Nothobranchius furzeri: one gene and its partners. The protein of the gene in region 2 purifies or fractionates together with the protein of the main gene of each other region. This does not show direct contact. Links are inferred from orthologs where the notes say so. Each region holds a gene or a part of one and is shown on either strand. Other genes may lie near its edges.

Region 1 (3,799 bases), on a different chromosome or scaffold from region 2:
GTGCTCATCTAAAAATAGCCCCCTTTCACATCCAACTGAATGTGTACGGTTCCGCTTACACCAACATCGTACACAAAAAATGCTGAACGCTAACTAGAAATTCATGAAAATTTTATAGAAATAAAAGAATCTTGTTTATTGGGTCTTTGAAAATTTAAGACCTCTGGAAAATGTATTTAAGTATTATTTGTAATTTTTAAGGCCTTAAATTTGGAAAAGCTAATTTAAGACCTGCGGATACCCTGGACGAGTATGGCAGAAAGCCCCGTTGACTTACATCGGTAGCGGCGAGTGCGTCATGTTGTTTGATATCCAATAGCATGCAGAGACAGTCTGGAAGAAAACCGTAGACCCAGGCCCACTACTGAGAGCCGTCAACGGGCCGTGTCCAGACTATATATTCACCTATAGAGGATGGCTTCCCAGGCTAGGGTTTCTCATAACCAGATGTTTAACCTATTCACTGCCAATGACGAGTAAATTCGTCATTTGCATGTTTTTACTGTGTGGGCATCGGACGAGCCCCCACACCGTGAGAACAAACACCTCAGCTCTAAAGCGGATCTTCATCCGTATACGTCACACGTCACGTGATCAGGAAGCAGAACATCCATGTGTTAGATCGTTTTGGGCCGCTGCTGTAAAAAAAAAAGTGAGGCGCGAACCGGAAAAGCTTCTGCCGATCACAATTCAACAACAGATAATGAAAGAACGGATAACGCTCGAAACGCGCGGATTCTTCCTGATGTAAGAGGTGAGTCTCCGCTTTGTTTTGGTTGTTTTGGCGTCAACGTCATCCTAGCGCGCAACGTTCTGTGGCTTAAAAAAAACTGTAAAAACGGTGAGAAACGCTGGCAGCGAATGAGTTAAAGCTCCCATTTACTTAAAAGACAAATAAAATATCAAAATCTAATTCAGTCAAAATACTGAAAACATGAACTGAGCACCAGAAAGAGTTTACAAATACCCTGAAATGGTGACTGCTCCCACAGTTTAATCATCTTTACGAGAGCTGATTTTTAATTTGTCTGTATGATTCTTACAATCAGAGTGTACGGTGCCTCCTTCTTCCCCTCGCTGGCCTCTGCTGGCGGCGCCGTTGCCTGCCCCGCTTGTGCCGGCGCGTCAGACGCAGCTACAGCAGGGCCTGTTGGTGACGTGTCCACGAAGACTTGATCCGCCACCCGGAAGCGGATCTCCTCCCCTTGGTCCATGTAGAGGTCGTGCCCTCCCTCATCCGTCTCGTACTCCCAGACCCAGACCTGCTCCGCTTCATCACTGGAGTTACGGCTAAGGAAGGCTCAACCAACCCCAGATCCATAAGACTCCAGTCACACACTCAGCAAATGCAGTAAAAACAAAACCACTGTGCTTCTAACTCTGGATACAACTTTGCAGGCTGCTGGAGAGACTCAGGAGGGATGAGAATATCATCAAAGAAGCCCATGGTCACTGTGAAGCAGCAGAGTGAGAAGCTCCTGTTGAAATCTGGTACACAGCTGTTAAAGCGTTTACTGTTAAAGGATATTTTGTCATTCTTGCATCAGACATGAAAGAAACAGCGTACCTGGAAAGCAGAGGATAACAGTAAAATAACATATAATTGCAGCAATGACTAAAATTCCATATATATAAGGGATGTGTATTGGTGAAATTTTGGCAATACGACAAGTATCACGATATAGGGGAGACAATACAACATATCACGATACATTGCCATACAATACGATATCAGCAATTTTTTTAGACAGAATTTTTTGTAGGAATATTGAATAAACAGTCCAAACTAGGGCTGGGCGATGCGACCTAAAATCAGTGTCACAATATATTGAGAATTTCACCTCGATAACGATAAATTGGCGATAACTACAGGTATGCGCAGAAACAAAAGTTGTCCACTAGATGGGGCTGTCACACGTATTACTTGAGTCACATTTTTACGTGACTCAAGGTGGTACAGCTTCTTAAAGGGATGTGAACGTTACCAACCTACACATCTTTTCATTTCTTTATTATCGAATTTATTGACACGGGAAAAATGATCACGATAAGAGTCAGAAATTTTGATAATGATAAATTTTCGATTTATTGCCCAGCCCTAGTCCAAACTGATACTTAACATTTTTAATGCGAGGTATCTGAACCATAACAGAGGGATTTATATTTCAGTGGTGGAAACAAAACACATTGCACACTGCTGCCAACTAGCGGTCTGCGTTTAAATTGCACCAAAAGAAAAGAAAATACACAAATATTTGCATGTAAATTCTTCCAAAAATTTGATACATGGATTTTGAATATTAATATAAAATCACAGGATAAAATATCACAAAATATTACCATATCGATATTTTCGATATACATCTTTTGAATATCAATACAATATCACGATATATTGCCATATCGATATTTTCTTACATCCTTTAATGTGTGTATATATATATATATATATATATATGTATATATATATATATATATATATATATATATATATATATATATATATACACTATATATATATATATTTTTTTAATTTGTATGATAAATGATAAAATCATCTAGGTGTAGAAATTCCATCATGGCTATTTTTCAAGTGCTTCCATAATTTTCTTTTTTATATTCCTGCAAATGTGTTCATATTAAACACACACATCTATGTTAAAGTATCACAATATTAAAGGTGGAATATTTTGCAAAACTCACATTTTGCATCTTTTTTTTTTTTTTTTTGCTGCCATGTGGGTCTCTACTAGGGATGTCCCGATCCGATCACATGATCGGAAATCGGCCCCGATCACGTGGTTTCAGACTGATCAGGACTCGGGCTTTACTTCCCGATCCAAGCCCCGATCCGGAGTTGGATACTGGCTTCAAATTACAGGAGAGCAACTTGGTTCTCCTTAATGGTTGTCAGGCTCACCTGATGCCCTTAACTCACACACCCAGAAGGAGCACAAAAGAGATCCAGTTTGTACCTATATTATATTATTTACATGGACTCAGAGTAGCGGGGATTCTTTTGGGGCAGAGATGCAGAGCGGCAGGCAGACCGCTGATTATTTATGGACTCCAGGTGTGTTCTGCACACGGCCACAGTAACATTTTCTAAGTTTCTAAAGGGCCTCACCAAAAAATATATAATTAACACACAGTCGTTTGTGTCCGTTCATTTTCTCTCTGGTAAGTTCTGTCTGTATTTGAGCATGATGTGTGGACGCGCTCGCGCCGCAGCGCTCGTCACTGGCGCAGCCGTGCAGCGCGGCGCTCACTCCGCTTTTTTTGTGGTCAATAGATCAATTTGATCTGCTAGTTAAAAAGTTACTTGTGAGGTGAAAAAGAAGGAAGCAGGGAGGAGTTTGTCTGGAGGACTGGATCCACCCCTCACATGCAAGAAATAGTTGCTGCTGAAGGAGCAGCGGCTCTCACCCTGGATTCTCATGTCAGTTCTCTTGTTCGCTCTTTCTTCGTCCATCTCAGGAACATTGCTAAGCTGAGTCCCATTCTGTCCCGCTCTGAACTTGAGACAGTTCTCCACACCTTCATCTCCTCACGCTTAGACTACTGTAACTCTCTTTTCACGTGTCTGAGCAGAACCTCCCTGAACCGTCTACAGGTGGTTCAGAATGCCTGTGCTCGGCTTCTGACCAAGTCCTCCAAACACACCCACATCACCCCGCTTCTCCTCCAGCTTCACTGGCTGCCAGTCAACTTCAGGGTTCATTTCAAGATCCTGGTTCTGGTCTATAGGGCCTTACATGGACAAGCACCATCTTACATTGGTGATCTTCTTAGTCCCTAC
Region 2 (4,455 bases):
GGTCTCCTAAGATCCAGAACCAGCAGTCCAGTAGCAGGACGAAATTTCAGTAAATAGCCTCGTCCATGTTGTCATCACTGTCTCCTCCAAAGTCCTCTCCATTCTCAAAGTAGGACATGATGTAATCCGTCTCCTGCAGGACAAACCGATCAGTTAGAGACCAGTACTCACAGTGAGACCAGTTACTTTTTAAACCTGCTACCCAGCTATGTCCCCGCCCTGTTCAGCCAGAACGGGTCAGAATTCTGTACCCAATAGACCCTTTTACTACCTACGTCATCAAAAGTTGCGAGCGCAGCCTGGCAACGAGAGTGAAGGCTTCCTCATTCACACTCGATACTAAAGCAGTGTTTTAAACCCTTTGTTTTGAAGTTCTGAGCACATAAAATGTCGGGTTGTTGCGTGTATGGATGCCAGAATCGCTTCTCTCCAAGTAGTGGACTGAAACTTTACAGAATTCCGAAGGGAGCACATCCATTTCAACAAAATCGGAGGTGTCTGTGGCTGCAGGCCATCAAAAGGGTTGATGAAAACTGGACTGAAAACACGATCCGAAATGCTCGAGTTTGTAGCGCCCATTTTATATCAGGTAAGGTAATTATGTACTAAGATTACACCAGAAAGCTGGTTAACGTGTGTTCTATTAAATAAAGTAAGTTGCGCTTGCTGGTTTGCTTTTAAGCAGTCTATTTATTTTTTAATTAACATTTCATTCTAATTCATCTGTATTTTCCCACTGCATATTAGTATAAACTGTATTTCTCTAAAATTAACACGATTGTACTCTGAGCACGCTAAAAAAAAAGAAACCTAAGCTATACTCACCCTGCCATGCAGGTACAGTTGGCTGTGAAGACGTAGTTCTCTCGTTTGTTTACTATGACCCAAGCCTCGTACATAGCAGTCTTGTGTCCTTGTCTTTGGCTAGGAAGGACTTCTGCCTTCAAGACGCAAAACTCAGAGTCTATGTCGTGATATTTTACTTTCTGTACGTGGCCACAGACAACATAGTTGTATGCATCTAACGATTTGTATGCCCGTAGCTTCTCACGTGTGTACTTACTGGGCCTCTCCACTAAAAACGTATATATATCGGGCCACTGGATATCTGGCCACGCACCTACATCTTCCACCCATTCCGTAATGCCACAGGGATCCGGGAGTCTGTTGCCATTCGTTAAAGTGAGTTTAATAATATAACATTCAAGATTTGCCGGTGATAACCCCGCAGCGTAGCTTGATAAAGCCTGACACAACGCCATTCTCTGTTGCCAAGCTGCGCGAGCATTCTCGCTGACGTCATATTGTTTACAAACAGTAAAAGGGTCTATAAACGCTCCTCTTTGGTATGTTCTTGCTGTGTTGCTTTTCTAACTGCATTGTTGGTTCTTCTTGAAAACACGGAAAAGGTTTATTTTTACCTTGCTGCCAGCAAACCGGTTAAAGTTACCCTCGCGGTCTATCACTGGCAAATCAAAAGTGAGACGGATGACACAACCGCCCCCGTACTTGCTTGTTACCACATTCCAGAGAGAGAGAGAGAGAGAGAGAGAGAGAGAGAGAGAGAGAGAGAGAGAGAGAGAGAGCGAGAGAGAGAGAGAGAGAGAGAGAGAGAGAGAGAGAGAGAGAGAGAGGATTTTGACAGCACTTTTTTCTGACTATTCCAACTGACGGATTTCCGTCACCCCGACGGAGAACTTTAATCCCTGCCACACCCACACCGGGTGTCACCTCACCTCTTCAAACTCTTCCTCATCGTAATCCTCCTCAGCCTCAGCACCCTCATCCTGCTTCTTCTCCATCTCTCCTTCCCCCTCAGAGCTCTCCTGCTCCTCCTTCTTCTCCAGCGTCTGCAAGTATGACACACACAGGTCACGTCATCGGTATGGTAGGACAGCAGGTGGCTGAGACACCTGCTCCACAGGTGAGTCTGACAGATCTGGAATACGTTATTTTACCTGTGACCTGTTTCCCAGACCAGTCCAACTCACCTCCAGCTTCAGAAGGATCTCCTCTCTGACCTTCTTCTTCTTCTTCTGTATCTGCTGACCGCTGTCCCGGCAGCTGAGCAGCGCACCTTAACAAAAACACATTTTACCAGCAGCTAACACAACCTGGCTCAAATTACTGAGAGTAATCAGATTACTGACCATCACCGGGTGCTTTCCTGACGTGGACTCGCAGTTCTCTGGGGAATCTCTTCCAATCTGAAACGACTAATCAGCATTACTCCTGATCAACACATCACATTGGGTTCTCTTGGTTACTGTGGTTACAGATATTAGCATTCATGGTCTCACCTACAACCCAGTCCTTCAGCCTGTCAGTCTGTTCACTGATGTGATATTTATCTGAGTATCGCTCCACATCTGACAGGAAGTGCAGAGGAGAACTTCACAATAAGAGAGCAGTTACATCTGATAAGCAGTTAAGTGGTGATTGTTGGTCTCACCTCTTTGTGCCACTGCTGGTTGGATAAAGCATGGAAGACTCCTCATGGCTCCCCTGCAGTCCTGTTTCAGAGCCAACAAATACTCTGCCTCTTCTCCACCTGTTAGAGGCAGGGGCTTCTGCTCCATCACCTGGAAAACATTAAACTGCAAATCCCAGAATGCACTTGATGCCAAAAAAAATAAATACACAATGTCTGCTCAAAATAAAGCCACACGTGACCTAAACTCCAGGTGTGACTGGGTTCAGGTGTAGTGGGGTGGAGCTTACTGGAAACACAGGTGTAGGCTGGTGAATAGTTGGAGGAAGAGATTCTCTGATGCCGACTGCATCCACACTGAAACTCATCATCCTGTGGCCACGCCCACGACCTGCCATCTCTATTGCCTCTCTAAAGCAGACCAGAACCAGAACATGAACGGACCCTCTGTGGCGGATGTGGGTAGGGATTTTTATGACCTGTAGTGGTGGTGAGTGGTCATAGGCTGGCCCTCGCTTGTGAGAGGAGGGACCCTTTGGTCTTGACCCGGTTAACGCTGGGCCACAGTTGTCTGCGGGGTGGGTTGTTTTTTATTAGGGGAGCACCCGGATGGTAACTGTGACTGTGGAGAGTTGGAGAGTGTGAGATATGTTCTTCAGCATTGCTGGCGATATGCAGGAGAGAGTGGTCCTCTCTTGGGGGCCCTTGGTGTGTCTGTTTTCAGTTTGAGGACTTTGTTGGTGATGACGGACTGTCGTAGGGGTGTAAGGGCAGACTGTGAGTGGGAATAGGTGCTGACCCATCAGCATCTAGCCTGCCAGATCCAATGAAGAAGACCCTCTGCAGCCCGGTCAGACGTGGTGCTGAATCTGGATTCTGACAGAACAAGAAGGCTGAATGTTAGCAGAGATGTGGAGACAAGTGACCAAATGTGATGAAGGTTGTGGAGCATCATGGAGAGGATGCACGTCTGAGATCGAAGAGATGTTAGCTGATGTGTGACAGGAAGTCTGGAGCAGGAGGAGGATGCTAAACTGAAACCTACTAAAGAAAGTCCTTGTCCAGACTTCCGTCCGTTGGATTCTCTTCCTACTTGAAGCCAGCGTCTTTCATTCCGGACCACCAATAGTTCTGGTAGAGCTTGGTGTCCAGCTTGTTCCTGTTGTCTGGGTCAACATGGCCCCCTATCGGAGAAAACCAAAGATTCATAACAGCTTTTCTATATAATTGATCCTTTAACCTCTCCAGAATCCCCAGGTCCAATAATACCATACAAACAGAACCAATACAGAACGCCAGGGTTCTGGTCATTGGGCTGGTCCTGAACTAGACTGGACCTTCAATAGGTTCTGCTCCAGATTATCTCACCCGGCTGAGAATACACGCCCCCACGCAGTTCATCAAAACGACGAGTAGCTCTCGGTGACCCGGTTGGCTTTGTCTGACACGGTCCAGCGACGGCTCTTCCGGGATCGTTCCGTTTTAGGGGTCACTAAGCGTCGTCTCGCCTCTAAAGCGACAATTCATCTCGTTAGAACCTGAGGAACATTCACGTCTCCACGGTTCCGTCTTGTTTTGGACCAGACCGAACTGTCTGTTTACATCCGGCTTCGCGCCGTCTAAGTTCTTCTTCTTCTTTTGGTGTTTTATTGGTGGTTGGCAAACAATGAATGGTGCATTACCGCCACCAACTAGTGTGGAGTGTGGTCTGGAACAGCGCTCACATAACCAAACCAAACAGGGGGTTAAGACTCAAAGTCTCCCAAACACCCTTATCTCTTTCAAAAACCGAAATAAAATCTGATAACAGTCACTTTTTGAATTCTGTCTCAATAAATCAACAAGATCCAGTTTCACTTTCATCTGACTAAGAGTGTGAACTTAGTGACAGTGTAATATAACATGATCTATAGTTTCGTCTTCTCCACAATAATCACATTTCCCTGTATTATGTTTCCCTATCATGAATAATGTATTGTTTAACCCAGTATGTCCAAACCTTAGTCTAGCAATGATCACCTCCT
Region 3 (2,458 bases), on a different chromosome or scaffold from region 2:
GGCTAATGTCAACAAATGTTTTTTTATCAAAACCCACTAGGATAAACGGGGTTTGCTGCTGGTTCTAGTGTAACTTCGGACCGAGAGGTCGAGCGTTTTCAACCCTTTGGAAGAAGAAAAAAAAAAAACACGGATGGCACGAGCCAAGCGAGAAGGTGAAAGCTGCTCGCTGATTGGTCAATCGCAGCACGGCGAGTCTGCTTGGACGACTCCCATTGGTTGAAACGTTAAAGGGGCATTTCCGCTACTTCAACAAGCGTTTTCTCTCCTCTTGAGGCTAAAATTACTTTACCAAATCGATTGGTATGCTTTCAGTAAAAGCCCACCGGGGAAATTTAATCACAGTGTGGGATTGAGTCGATCTTAAAGCCGCCACATTTAATTTACCCATCTTTTCATTAGAATCATATTTTGTTTTGTTTCTTTCAAAACGTACATTGATATACTCTTGATGTATTGATGCCTGTGTGGAGGTGCTACAGACTTAAGTAAGGCTGTCAAAACACAATCACAATAACATTAAATACCCACAAAGATCCAGGGATAAGTAATGAGAAACTTACATAATTAAATACATTTGAATGTATGAAAGTGGGGATAAATCATTGCCATTTTCACTGACTACAAAATCATACTTTCTCTGAATAGTTACAAAACGTTTATTGTGAGTTTTTTTGTTTCAAGTTGTTTGTGAAAAAAAAAGAGTGGATGGACACTGCCAATAGAAGAGTGTGTCGATACATCTCTGAGCTGCGTGTTAGTGCAGTGACGAAGTTTGGGAAAGAAAACATAGCTGCAGGGGATCTATTAACCCCACTCAGACACATTTATGCAGTGGTCTTCTGCAGCAGCAGAGCCTGCATTCACTGTTTTAATGTTGAACCACAGGGAAAAAAATTGACAGCTGAATCCAACATCAAATGCATTTGGTGCACAGGCGAGTCCAAAACCAGTCCCCAATAATGTCACATTGCTTTACTTTCCTGACTCTGCGAGGTGCCCAGAAAGCACCGGAAATTACAGTGATGAACCAACAGGAAGCCAAAAACAGAAAAGGTCCAAACCAACACATCCTTCCCCTGCTGTGACACAGCTGCACCAAAAACGAGTTGTTCAAAGCTCAGCGGGAAGAAAAATATGTTGTCTTACAGGAAATTGTAAAGCTAATTGGGTTTACAAGTGAACAAAATGCTTCAGAGTTGCATTCAACTAGCTAATGAAAGATAAAATGAAATGCCCAAGTCTATAATCTACTAAGGATACGACTAATGAAAGGTGGATTTGGACATCCATGTTTACTGTTATGATTCAAAAACACATAATTTAGGACTTTTAAGCAGCTTTCCGTTTAACATAGCAGTTAAACAGGTGACTGCCTCTACATCAACAGGAATAATTATGCCCTTTTCTCTGTGGTCAGGTGCTCCACACCATTTGTGCTCTTGAAAGGCATCTTTTCCCAGTTCTACAATATTTTGGCCTCCTCACCACCACATACAGTCCGATTTTAAACCCGTCCCTGAGTCATGACTGTCCACCACCTTCATCCGTCTCTGCAGCTGCCTTTTCCTGCTCCGGATCACCGGGCAGGTGGTCTGAGATGGTCTGGATGAGCTCCTCAATCTGCTCCTCTGACAAACGCTCTTCACTTTCCTCCACCATCTACACAGAGAGAGGGCAACGAAGGCCACATTATAGAAATAGAACACAAGGAAATGTTGATCCATCAGCTTAAAAGATCTGGGTCCGTCTTCTGGATTTCTCGCGGAAAAACCTTCCAATAAACTCTGTTGATGTCATTGGAGAAGAATCAGATGGTTCATGGCTGCATTATTGTTTGAATTCTCACTAGTGACACAGAAATACCATAATCCAGCTTTTCTGTGGTTTCCTGCTTAGCAAAAAACCAACAGAAGTCATGTTTAAACATCTGCACACCCATGGGATTTTAAATGGGGTGAAACATTTAGATAAAAGAATTATTAAACACAAATAAAATAACATAAAAATATCAGAAGAGTGTTTTAAAGATGCCCTATTCTCAGGAAAGATTAAAACAATATTGTTTTTAATATAATTTTCAATATTTTAAAGAAGGAAAAAAAACACCCCAAAACCTCATAACCACAGCAAAGGCAACTCAATTTATCACAGACTTATTAGAATTTCTAAGTAATTTACAAAAAAGCTACACCTGTCTTTACTTAACATTACTAATAAAGCAAGTTGTGTATGTATGGAGTCAAATTGGAGCAACGATTTGAGAATATCTGGTATAATTAAAGAAGCAAAAAATATCGGCTTAAACACCGCTGCTAACCACTTAAACATTCTCCCTCTCCTGATAATAACATTTTACTTTCTTTGACATTGAATGTGCTACTACTAGTTTACCCGTTTAATTATAGATTAACTAGGATAAATACAATAAAGTTTGTCTCTCAGCAAATAGAATAGT
Region 4 (2,954 bases), on a different chromosome or scaffold from region 2:
CATCCTGTGATGACCGGAGCGGCCGGGCCGAGACGTAAGCCTTTGCAAGAGGATTCAGGTAGATGGGAGCCGTACCATCTCGGACTTTGTATGCTAGTGTTAGCGGTTAGAATTTGATGCGTGCTGCTAGCGGTAGCCAGTGGAGCTCAATGAACAGAGGGGTGACGTGTGCTCTTTTAGGCTGATTGAAGACCAGACGCGCCGCTGCGTTCTGGACCATTTGAAGAGGTCTCACAGTGCAGCCTGGAAGACCAGTTAGAAGGGCGTTGCAGTAATGGAGGCGGGAGATGACGGTAGATTGCACCAGGAGCTGGGTGGCATGTTGTGTTAGGTATGGTCTGATCTTTCGTATGTTATACAGCACAAAGCGGCATGAACGAGCAACAGAGGCAACATGATCTTTAAAGGTCAGGTGTTCATCAATCACAACACCCAGATTTCGAACTGCCTTTGAAGGCGCCAGATATAGATTTTGGATTGAGATATTGTGCTGTATGGATGGTTTCACTGGGATGACAAGTAGTTCAGTTTTAGAGAGGTGGAGTTGGAGATGGTGGGATTTCATCCATCTTCATTTGTCAGAGAGACAGTCCAAGATTCCTGCAGATTTTACACCAGACTGAACAATAACTCATCTCAGCATCAAACGGTTCACACGAGCTGCTTTATTAAGACTGATAAATAAAAAAAAGAAAAACTGTGGATCACAGCAGGCTGAATGAAGTTTCCTCACAGAGAAAAGAAGTGGGCCGAATAGCCATCAGAAGTCCAACCACTCGGTCATGTAGATGCAGCTGGACGGAGAGATTTCCCCTCCCTCATGACAGTCATCAAACACCTGCAGACAGGATCAGGTGAGTTCAGGCGCGTCCACGAGCAGGATGCAGCCATGTTAATGAGTGTGGTTACCGGGCAGAGTCCGCAGGGCGTCTTGACGAGGCCGGTGGGCTGCAGGATGGGGTTCACGCCCCTGTACAGCTTCATCTGCCCGTCCACGCTGCCCACCGTCCCCTCCTTGGCGGCAATCACGGTCATCTCCACCTTCCCGTCATAGATGAGCGTGTTCAGAATGGTCTCGATGTCGTCCATGGACAGATCCACCTGGACACACACCTGTCAGACACACGGACTACAGCGAGCGTGATGTGTGATTGGTGGACGTTAGCAGTCACCTTACTAATTCCAAGCTCGCAGATGTACTTCCACACTTCATGAGAGGTGGCGAAGGAGCTGTTCCGCTGAACCATCGGGCTCTGATTGCTGTCCCTCGCTGCGTCAGCCTTAACACACGGAACACCACGACGGTCACATGACCAGAACCCACCTGTTCCTGAACAGCATCATCCAGACCAACCCAGAGGATGGGTTCTGATCCGATCATTTGGTCATTTGGCAGAACTATCAGGTTCTGGTCCAACAGTTGTTGTCGTCGGGAGGGTTCCCCAACAGAACAAAATGACCCAGAAGAACCTCAAAGGAGTATTGATGGAGGCTGGCTGAAGCTTCACGGTTAAAGAGCTTCCATCGTTTCTTTAAGACCTCTTTTAAAAGATAAGATCCTTACATCCCATAATGCCTTACTAAGGAACTGAGCTCAGAGACATGAGGTCAGGTCAGTGGACCTTCAGGAGGGAGATCTCTGCTGCCCTCTGGTGGTCCGTAATGACCTGAATAAACTTTTATTACCACACGGCTGTTCCAGCGCTCTCATAACAAAAACAGAGTAAGAGGACAATTCAGTTGTCTGTCTGTCCCGCTGTCTGGGGGTGGGGTTCAAACCTGCTCCACACACCTCAAGGGACAGTGCTGGACTGCCCTTTCCCTCTTGACCAGCTTGATTAATGTCCCCTTGACCCTCTCTACACTTCCACCAAACATAATAAACCTCATAAAAGGACAACAGACGCTACCACAGAGCTGTAGAGGGTCCATAACTGAGTTCAGTTCACCCCAAAGGAGTAGGTGAAGACGACGAGAGAGAGAGAGAGAGAGAGAGAGAGAGAGAGAGAGAGAGAGAGAGAGAGAGAGAGAGAGAGAGAGAGAGAGAGAGAGAGAGAGAGAGAGAGAGAGAGAGAGAGAGAGAGAGAGAGAGAGAGAGAGAGAGAGAGAGAGAGAGAGAGAGAGAGAGAGAGAGAGAGATCCTTCAGGCCGGTTTAAAGTCAGGCACATCCACGGATACCCAAAGTTCAGTCTCGGGGATGAGAGGTTTGTTGCTATGATGCTGCTGCTAAGCCAAGATCATTAAAAGGCTTCATTTAGTTTAACTTAAAGAGCAAGTCACCCCCTACCAGAGTCTAACTCCACTCCCACTTCCTGTTTGAAAAATGCAACAAATGCTGTTGCCTAGCAGACCGAGAGGGCGGAGCCGCTAACTAATACACACACACACAGGCTCACAACAACATTGTGACATCATATGGTACCAGCTAGTGATGTGTCGGTCGCGAACGAACCGGCCCTAAGAGCCGGCTCATCATTGGGAGCCGTGCCCCCCCCCCCCCCTTCCCTCTTGCTTTGGTGAAAGCTACAGGCGATTGGTCAGCATGTGTAACTGTGTGTCCAGACTGTCCACACACAGAGCAGTAGGGGCGGGGAAGAGGGAGGATCAGACTCAGACACACAGCAGAGCACATGCAGGTGGAGGGAGACGAGAGGGAATGAGGAGGAGGAAAAAGGTGAGAGAGAGAGAGAGAGAGAGAGAGACAGAGAGAGAGAGACAGAGACAGAGACAGAGAGAGAGAGAGAGAGAGACAGAGACAGAGACAGAGAGAGAGAGAGAGAGAGGGGAGAGCGCGACGAAGACGGTGAGAAAATGAGCGCCAGCAGTCGGAAAGTGGAGATTTCTTAAAGTGTTCAGTTATTAAATCCATAGAAATGATAAATATTTGATATATTGCTTTTTTTACATTAGTAAATTATTTTACATATAGTTTATCATCATTTTGGTTATAAAT

Evidence for each region.
Region 1: the proteins of polr3glb (region 2) and polr3h purify together in Homo sapiens (co-immunoprecipitation; 4 studies listed by BioGRID and IntAct, counting the BioPlex papers as one, with this or other methods). This does not show direct contact. The link is inferred for Nothobranchius furzeri from reciprocal best matches to the Homo sapiens genes POLR3GL and POLR3H.
Region 3: the proteins of polr3glb (region 2) and crcp purify together in Homo sapiens (co-immunoprecipitation; 3 studies listed by BioGRID and IntAct, counting the BioPlex papers as one, with this or other methods). This does not show direct contact. The link is inferred for Nothobranchius furzeri from reciprocal best matches to the Homo sapiens genes POLR3GL and CRCP.
Region 4: the proteins of polr3glb (region 2) and polr3f purify together in Homo sapiens (co-immunoprecipitation; 5 studies listed by BioGRID and IntAct, counting the BioPlex papers as one, with this or other methods). This does not show direct contact. The link is inferred for Nothobranchius furzeri from reciprocal best matches to the Homo sapiens genes POLR3GL and POLR3F.

What each region holds. Positions count from the first base shown.
Region 1 is NC_091752.1:65,981,072-65,984,870, reverse strand, and holds part of polr3h (DNA-directed RNA polymerase III subunit RPC8), read right to left. Parts: intron 1,453-3,799; coding exon 1,389-1,452; intron 1,279-1,388; coding exon 1,044-1,278; intron 1-1,043.
Region 2 is NC_091745.1:58,816,411-58,820,865, reverse strand, and holds the start of polr3glb (DNA-directed RNA polymerase III subunit RPC7-like), read right to left. Parts: upstream 3,020-4,455; 5' UTR 2,830-3,019; coding exon 2,722-2,829; intron 2,583-2,721; coding exon 2,453-2,582; intron 2,370-2,452; coding exon 2,301-2,369; intron 2,217-2,300; coding exon 2,151-2,216; intron 2,078-2,150; coding exon 1,992-2,077; intron 1,851-1,991; coding exon 1,737-1,850; intron 134-1,736; coding exon 47-133; 3' UTR 1-46. UniProt on the Homo sapiens protein: DNA-dependent RNA polymerase catalyzes the transcription of DNA into RNA using the four ribonucleoside triphosphates as substrates. Specific peripheric component of RNA polymerase III which synthesizes small RNAs, such as 5S rRNA and tRNAs.
Region 3 is NC_091750.1:56,805,331-56,807,788, forward strand, and holds the end of crcp (DNA-directed RNA polymerase III subunit RPC9), read right to left. Parts: intron 1,663-2,458; coding exon 1,525-1,662; 3' UTR 646-1,524; downstream 1-645. UniProt on the Homo sapiens protein: DNA-dependent RNA polymerase catalyzes the transcription of DNA into RNA using the four ribonucleoside triphosphates as substrates.
Region 4 is NC_091746.1:29,572,664-29,575,617, forward strand, and holds the end of polr3f (DNA-directed RNA polymerase III subunit RPC6), read right to left. Parts: intron 1,281-2,954; coding exon 1,173-1,280; intron 1,102-1,172; coding exon 910-1,101; intron 839-909; coding exon 761-838; 3' UTR 646-760; downstream 1-645. UniProt on the Homo sapiens protein: DNA-dependent RNA polymerase catalyzes the transcription of DNA into RNA using the four ribonucleoside triphosphates as substrates.